Macaca fascicularis: one gene and its partner. The protein of the gene in region 2 interacts with the protein of the main gene of each other region in a biochemical or structural test. Links are inferred from orthologs where the notes say so. Each region holds a gene or a part of one and is shown on either strand. Other genes may lie near its edges.

Region 1 (4,501 bases), on a different chromosome or scaffold from region 2:
CAGACTTCCTCACAAGGAAGTCTAAGAACTAAAGGGTGAATGCCTGGCACAGCCAAAGGGCATCCAGGGTCTGTTTGGGCCGTTTGGTGTCCTGTGCCATACTGAGTTTTAAGTGTTCTAAAATCTCATCCCTGGGAGTGGGAGTCATCTATGGGGGAGGTACCCTAGACATGGGCCATGGGGTCCCCTGCACATCCCACTCTTAGATAGAGAGGCCTTGTCTGCTCGCCCATCTCCTCCCAGGACAAGCCACACATTCCAAGGCCACAGTTCCCAGGACCTTATCCTAGGCAGACAATGGATGAGTCAGTGGCTGCAATGACCTGAGGGCAGGGGAGGCCTAGAGAGATGGAGCTGCTCAGGGAAGGGCTTGCTTGGGGTTGACTGTGGGCCTGGGACAGCTCCAAGCTGATAGACCCCTCTACCTCGGTGCTGCCTTCTCTTTTCATCACAGTGGAAGGGCAGCTTGGGGACCACCGAGCCACTTTGCAAGGCCAGAGCCACAGGTACCCTCTCTGCCCCTGCACTCACCTTGCTGCCTAAGCTGAAGGCAGAGGGCACTTTGGGCTGGCCCCCGGAGTGTACCCAGGGGTGTGGGGCAAGGGGCCAGTCACATGGACGCTCTGGGGGCAGGCCAGACACTAGGTAGGGTGGCAAGCAGGTGGGCACCCAGAAGGGAGCTCGCTCCAGGATCTTGGTCTCCAGAAGGAAAGGGCAGTGCCAGGGCCGGAAGGCCACAGGGTCACTCTTGAGATGGCCACCACTATGCTCAGGCATCAGGGGGCCACAGCGAGGTGGGCACGCTGGCCCGCAGAATGCCAGCGGATGGGTAAGCATGGCCTCCTTCCAGCGCAGTCCCTCTTTGCTGCCCAGCCAGTTGACCTTCCTCTCCCCATTCTGGGGGCCCTCGCCCTCCACAAGTGGGAGCGTGTCCTTGGGGCCCTGGGGGAAGCCAGGGGGAAGCCAGGAGTCTGGGGTGCTTGGGATGCCCCCCCAAAAGGGAGCAGGCTCTCCCAGGCACAGCGGCCCACGGTGCAGGCCATCTCGAGGCGGGCTGCCGGGCTCCTGTCTGACGATGCCGTTCTCTGGGGCCGTCTTCTCCCAGGTGCCCTTCAGGAAGCTGGGCGAACTCTCCATCACTCTCCTGCCCTCATGGGGCTCTCCCAGAGGGGGGGTCCCTGGAGCATAACCATCAAAGCATGAGCTTCTGGGGCACATTCCCCAAGCACCTTACTGCCTGGCACAGAGTGGGCACTGCCCTGGCAGCACCGAGGCAGCTCAAACCAGTAAGGCAAGTGCCAGCCCACAACTGGGCACCGTGCTGCCTCTCCACATGCAGCCGGACGCATCTTGTTCCTCCAGTATGGGGATATCATCCCTTCCCCAAATTCCACCTAGGCCAGTGCCCCTCAGCGGAGGCTGCCATGGCTAGTAGGGCATGTCCTGGCCTCACGGAGCTAGGAATCTGCTCACAACCCATGAGGCAGGACAGAAAGTGGAAGGCCCTGAACGAGGAGAAAGGCTGGATCCTGAGCCTGACTCTGTCCTATGCTGCATGGCCCTGGGCAAGTCTTGTCACTCCTCTGGGCCTCAGTGTGCCCTTGAGGGTTGGGTCGTCTCAGAGGATTCTTCTCATCCTGCAATCAGTGGTTTTGGGGGTGCTGCTAGCCCAACCCTAGCCTACAGCCCCAGCCAGGTTTGTAGCCATGGGAAGTGCAGGCCTGGCAGGCTGGAGTCACTGGGGAAAGCTGCCAGCCAGGGCCGCTGGCTGTGTCTCTCTCTACACCTGGGCGGCCCTGAGTCAGCCTCTTCCCAGAGCCCTGCAGTTTCTCAGCTTCTCAAGCAGAGTCCCAGGACAACTGCAGGGGGCTAGGAACCCCGCCCTGGCCCCCAGCGGGAAGAACGCGCCGGCACAGGGGAGGGGGATTAAGAAGCCTCAGCTGGATGGGTCAAGTTGCCCTAGCCCTGCCAGCAGTGCCAGGGCAGCCGCCACCGCCGCTGGAAACTTCAGCTTGGCGGGGAGGGGAGAGGGAAGGAGGCGGGGAAAGCGGGCTGGGCCCCAGAGAGAGGCAAGGGAGGGAAAATTGAACGTGCGTACAAGGGACCAGTATGACAGGTGGCACTAGAGCGGCAGCGCTCTCTTGGCGCGGTCCCCTCGGCCAGCGCGACGAAGCCCCAGGCAGGAGGTGACGGCGCAGTGGCACAGGGCGCCCAGGTTTTCTGGAGCCACGGCTCTGCCGTGGTCTGGCCGCGTCGGGCATCCTAACTTTCAGGTGTCAGAATGGGTGGCCCAGCCCAGAGGGGCACGGGGAATTCACTCCGTACGGGCACCGCAGGCTCGGCTCAGAAATCCCCCTCCACGAGTGTCCCTAGGCGGCGCGCTCCTGGTGCTTACCTGGGCTTCACCGGCCGGTCGCGGCGCAGGCGGTGGCGGTCGTCGTGGCCGGCACCGGGCGCCTGCTCCCCATGGGCCAGCTCCGGGGCCTCCCGGCCGGCGGGCGAGGATGCGTTCTCCCGCTCTGCTCAGCGCGCTCGCGCTCTCCTTTCCCCGGGGCGGCGGGGGCGCTCTAGGGCCGCAGGTTGGAGGGGTCGGACTCCGGGATCTGCAGGATGCGGCACACCGCGCGGATCGGCCGCACCAGCTTCTGGGCCGAGGCCGTGGGTTGCGCCATGGGACGCCGAGACTCCGTGCTGCGCCGCGGGGAGGGCCGGGCCGGGGCTAGGGAGCGGGTGCCCCCGGAGGGAGAGAAGGCGCCGGGCCGGGGGGAACACGCGCCCCGGGTCGGAGATGGCCGAGTGGGGGGAAAGGCCGAGGGGCCGGGGGAGGGGGTCGTGCCTGGATGGGGGTGCCGATCCTGGGACCCAGGAGAGAGGCACCGGCGAGGGCGCAGTACCGCGCAGCGCGGCTAATGGAGGTAGAGCGCGGCGGAGAGCGCAGCAGGACCTCTGATCGCCATCGCCAGACGCGCAACTGAGAGTGGGGAAGCTGCTCCGCCGGTTTCCTCCTCCAGCACCCTGCGGGAAACAGGAGCCCGTGATTCGGCGGCCGCGCCTGGGCCTGCCCCCTCCCGGGCCCCGGGGGCTTCCGCCAACGCCCCGGCGATGCCACCGGCTGCGCACGGGGAGAATGAGCCCTTTGTTCCCCCTCCCCCCCGCCGCACCCGGGCGCCTGCCGAGAGAGGCTCCCCCGGGGCAGCGTGCCAGCTTCCCAGCCGCCCCACCCTCCCGTGGGCCCGGCCCCGGAGCCTGGCAGGCGGGCGGCACCTCCACTATAGGTGCCAAGCCCGGGAACTGGAGCAAAGGGCGGGAGGGGCCGGACCAGGCCACGGTGGGGCGGGGTGCCCCCCAGGGTGCTAGGGCGGGGTGGCTGGGAGGGGGCAGTGCCAGAGCTGGCAGGGGCAGACGAGTTCTCACGGGTCAGTGATGGGCGCTCTGGCCCACGCCAGCCGGGCTGTGCCTGCCGGGCCACTGGCTCCTGGTCATCTCCAGCTCTGGCACATGGCACGCCCCACTGGCCTGTGTCTGCCCTGCCTCATCCTCACCTGGTCAAGCTGCTCTTTGCCATCTTCCACCCCAAACCCCTTCCAGAGCCCAAGGGCACAAAGGGTTGCGGCCTAGGACCTCTGGGAGGGCCTGGGCTCGGGTCTGTCCCTGGTCTAAGGGCCTTGATTTCGCCAAATGTCTGGAGAGGTCATGGGCCCAGATGAGCTCCCACACCGGCTCCAGACCCCGGGCTGTGAGTGTTTGCCCCATCCCCAGGGTTCCTGGTGCTTCCAGGCCAGGGGCTGGAGAGGCGCCCATGGGAGTGGCTCCCGGGAGAGCACAGAGAGGAGGAGAGGAAATGGAAAAGCAGGGCACCCTCCACCCGAGGAAGCATCCCGGCTCCACTGCGGGGGTGGTTCCAGTGCAGACACAAACAGACAGATTCAAACACACACAGACAGATTCAGACTCACACAGAAACCCACACGCCCAACGGGCGCTTCCCTTCCCCTCAGGCACCCACCTCCCACCCTCAGCTACCCTGGCTCCCTTCGGAAGCCATCCTCAGCCTGCCTGGGACAGAAGCTGCACTCCCTCTTTCCCATCCCATGGAAGCCATGGGTTCTGGATGCCTCTAGCTTGGTCCCAAGTCACACCACCATCCCCACAGAGGGAAGCCCTGAAGAGCCCGAAGCCTTCCTCCTAAGGGATGAGCAAGGCCTAGAGCCTTCTACCAATTGAGAATAGTGGGGGTCCTGGGGAGCAGGGTCCTAAAGGAGCGGGCACTGGGCCGGACTTGGGCTGTGTTGGCATCGATTCACCCTGCCCCTGGCCTCCCCCCAGAGGCCAGTTCTGTGGCAAGGCAGGCTGGTAGAGGTTGTTTACATGACTGAGTAACACTCCCTTCCTCCCCAGCTCCCCTGAGGGTGGCTGGGACCTGAGTGTGCCAGGGGAGATGCTTGTAGAGGGTCTAACATGGACTGGAGGCCCCAGGCTCTGAGGCCCGGCCTCCCACTTC
Region 2 (3,802 bases):
GGGAACGCGCAGGGCCGTCTGTGGCTCGAGGAACCCTGCTTATCTAGTTTCTCAGAATACCCCCTACGAATCGCCTGCAAACTCTGTAAGGCAGAGCCAAGGGCGGTGAGGGGCACCTCAGCATCCACACACCACTGGGGCTCTGCAAATCAGCAAAGTAGGCATTTCCCTCTCTGCCTCTCCTTTTGCTACATCTCCCTTCAGGTTGCCCAGCTGGCCCTCAGCAGGTCTTCATCCTTCACGCTCCCTGCTCCCCAGGTCCCCAAGCTCCTCCCAGCCTGGCCCCATACCTGGGGAGACGATGCAGATGGCCATGAGCAGAACATGCTCCTCCTCATGCAAGTTCAGCTTCTTCAGTCCCACCTGGAACTTGATGAGGGGCTCAATCAGCTCCAGGTTGTGTCCAGCTGTGAGAGACAATGGCCAGGTACTGTGGGCAGAGCTGAGGAGCCGCCCACCCACCTCCAACCCCATGGGTCGGACCCTCACCCTTCTCTCCCTGTTGGTGCGTAACTCCCTCCCATGTGTCTGATTGGAGCCCAAACCCCAGGAGGGGTAGACACAGACTCTGGGCGCTGGAAAAGGTGGAGGTGGAGTCCAGGCATACCTTTGGTCACGTCACTGACGCGGTACTTGTAGTCCTGGTTGCCACAGGTCCAGGACATGTCGTCCATGGTGAAGGATTCATTGGAGCGTAACATGATGACCTCAATGGCACTTGACTTCAGCAGCACGATCTGGTCCTCAGAGGTGAGGTCTCTGCGGGGGAAGGAGGAAAGGAGGTCAGGTTACCAGTCAAGGCCTTCCAGACACACAAATCAGTTTAGCATTTTGACAGGTATACACCTGCTGGGCGCCAACATGTGCCCTGGGTCTTTCATCGAGGAGCTTGCAGCCTGGCTGGAAGGGACAAGAGTGTTCCTTGAAAGAGAACAGTTCAACACTGTGATCATGTGCCAAGGCCGGAAGTGAAGTAGCTCAGTTACTAAGACAAGGAAAACCCAGAGGCCAAGCAGCCAGAGCTGTGAGGCACAGGAAGACGGAGCCCAGGGAAGCTCCCAGCATTGAGGCATGAATACGGCGGTCTGCAAAAGGTAGGACCACAGTATCTTCAAAAGCACCCAAGTTTTCTCCTCCTCTCCCTCCTCCTGTCCTCCAGTCCTTCTCAGTAGTAAATTCAGCCAGCTTTGTCTCCAGGATGTCTCTCGAGCTGCTGATCTTATTTCCACTCCTACCAGGAGTGCTCTGGTTCAGAGCTCCAGCGTGTTTTCCAATAGCCTCTTACGGGAATCTCAGACTTGTGTCTCCCCAGTCTGTCATTCATCTTTCTTACCACTGCTGCAGGTCAATGTCCTCTTGTGCTCAGAAATCCTCACTGACTCTCAACACCCTAGGTTCAGGCCCATACTCCCTAACTTGGCTCCAACCTCTCATTCCAACTCCCTTTCCCATGGTAAACTCCACCAACCTTCCATTCTAGCGGCATCATGCCACTCCACATTCAGATGCTGTGTGTTCTCACTGTGCCTTTTTTGTTTTTCTTGAGACAGGATCTCACTCTGTTGCTGAGGTTAGAGTACGGTGTTTGATAATAGCATGTTATAGCCTCAAACTCCTGGGCTCAAGTGAGTCTCCCATCTCAGCCTTCCAAATAGCTAAGACTACAAGCATGCACCACCATGCTCAGCTAATTTTCTTTTATTATTATTTTTAGAGACAGTGTCCTGTTCTGTCACACAAGCTGGAGTACAACAGAATGATTATGGCTCACTGCAGCCTCAAACTCCTGGGCTCGAGCAATCCTCCTGCCTCAGCCTCTTAAGTAGCTGGGACTACAGGTGCATACCACCACACCTAGCTAATTTTTAATTTTTTTTTTTGTAGAGATGGTGTCTCACTATGTGGCCCAGGCTGGTCTCAAACTCCTGGCCTCATGTGATCCTCTCATCATGACCTCCCAAAGCACTGGGGTTACAGGTGTGAGCCACTGTACCCAGTCATCACCACGCCTTTGAGCATACTACAGCTCCAGCCAGGAATACCTTTCTAATGCTCCATTTTGTTTTTCTGGTCCTGAATCCACTGTGTTTTCCCTTGGAGCCCCGCACCCTCTGACTCTTCAGCACAGTTAGGGCCATGTCTTTGTGACGCATTGAACACTGCTGGTGCTCTTATTTTGCCCTTCTCCTCCAGTTCTGCTCTTTACATGCTTGTTTTCTACTTTTTTTTTTTTTTTTTTTTTTTTAAGACAGAGTCTTGCTCTGTTGCCCAGGCCGGAGTGCAGTGGTGCAGTCTTGGCTCACTGCACCCTCCACCTCGCAGGTTCAAGCAGTTGTCCTACCTCAGCCTCCTGAGTAGCTGGGATTACAGGCACCCACCACCATGCCTAGCCAATTTTTGTATTTTTAGTAGAGACAGGGTTTCGCCATGTTAGTCAGGCTGGTCTCAAACTCCTGACCTCAGATGATCTGCCCACCTCAGTCTCCCAAAGTGCTGGGATTATGGCGTGAGCCACTGCACCCAGCCACTTGTTTTCTACTCTTATTTGTAAGTTACTTGGGGGCCAGCACCTCCTCTTAATCACCTTACTGCTGCCCACACAATGATCATTGAGCCCTCAGCACAACAAGAGGATTAATAGAGATGCGTTGATGAGTTGAGAGGCCAATGACTAGTTCCACTATTCTGAGTCATGATTGGGCTTGTCTGAACAACGGCGAGGAAAAGGCAGGGCTCACAAATCAACTTGCTTCTGGCTTTTACTCTCTTTCTCTTCCTGACTGTCTACTTCCTTCTGGATATCCTGTAGATAGGCTGTCATCCCCTTGATGGCTGCATGTTTGTATATAAAGTCAGGAAGCCGATATTGACTGATGAGAGTGTTGTATCAATGGGTGATAGATGGTGGGGAATGAGAAGGCTTGCATGATCAGGATGGCCAGCAAAGGATCTATATTGAAAAAAATCACAAAGTGCTAGAGTTGGAGGGCCCCTCTTAGGAGCTCTTAGAGGTGGCTCCTACATAACCACTGTAGGACTCTCCTAGGGTCAGGGAGCTCAGGGCCTCTGGACACAGCCATGGAGTTGTTAGCACCGAGATTAATGGCCTCTTCTATTGAGCTACAACCCACGTGATGGTACACTCATTTGTGGTTTACAGTTTTGTACTCAAGAAACCCAGAACCAGACTTCTTCACTAGCCATGGGACTTCCTTCGAACCATAGCTAATAGAGTTTTTTAAAAAGGAAAACTACTGTGTCCTCCTTCAGATAGTCTAATGACACAATGTCTAAACATCTCACCATCCTTGTCACTTTTCTCTAGATACTCAATCCACATTTAAAAAACAAAAATGAACACCATCCCCATTTTTGATTTGACTCATTATACAAGTAAAACATACTCATTATCAAATCTTTGGAAAATACATAAAAATGTAAAAACAAATTAAAATTGCTCATAACCACACTTTACATTTCGGTGTATTTTCTTCCTGTCTTTTTTTTCTTATTTTTGTTTTTATTTATTTTAATTTTTTTTTTTTTTTTTTTTTTTTTGAGATAGAGTCTTGCTCTGTCGCCCAGGCTGGAGTGCAGTGGCGTAATCTCGGCTCACTGCAACCTCTGCCTCCTGGGTTCAGGCAATTCTCCTGTCTCAGCCTGCGGAGGAGCTGGGACTACAGGCATGAGCCACCACACCCGGCTAATTTTGGTATTTTTAGTAGAGATGGAGTTTCACCATGTTGGCCAGGCTGGTCTTGAACTCCTGACCTCAAGTGATCTGCCCGCCTCGGCCTCCCAA

Evidence for each region.
Region 1: the proteins of VDR (region 2) and HR form a complex in vitro, tested with the Homo sapiens proteins (2 studies listed by BioGRID and IntAct). The link is inferred for Macaca fascicularis from reciprocal best matches to the Homo sapiens genes VDR and HR.

What each region holds. Positions count from the first base shown.
Region 1 is NC_088382.1:25,200,454-25,204,954, forward strand, and holds the start of HR (lysine-specific demethylase hairless), read right to left. Parts: upstream 2,974-4,501; 5' UTR 2,673-2,973; coding exon of another isoform or gene 2,568-2,672; 5' UTR 2,396-2,567; intron 1,179-2,395; 5' UTR 1,138-1,178; coding exon 532-1,137; intron 1-531. Other genes in the region: protein HRURF, read right to left, coding at 2,568-2,672. UniProt on the Homo sapiens protein: Histone demethylase that specifically demethylates both mono- and dimethylated 'Lys-9' of histone H3. May act as a transcription regulator controlling hair biology (via targeting of collagens), neural activity, and cell cycle.
Region 2 is NC_088385.1:54,589,487-54,593,288, forward strand, and holds part of VDR (vitamin D3 receptor), read right to left. Parts: intron 760-3,802; coding exon 608-759; intron 408-607; coding exon 291-407; intron 1-290.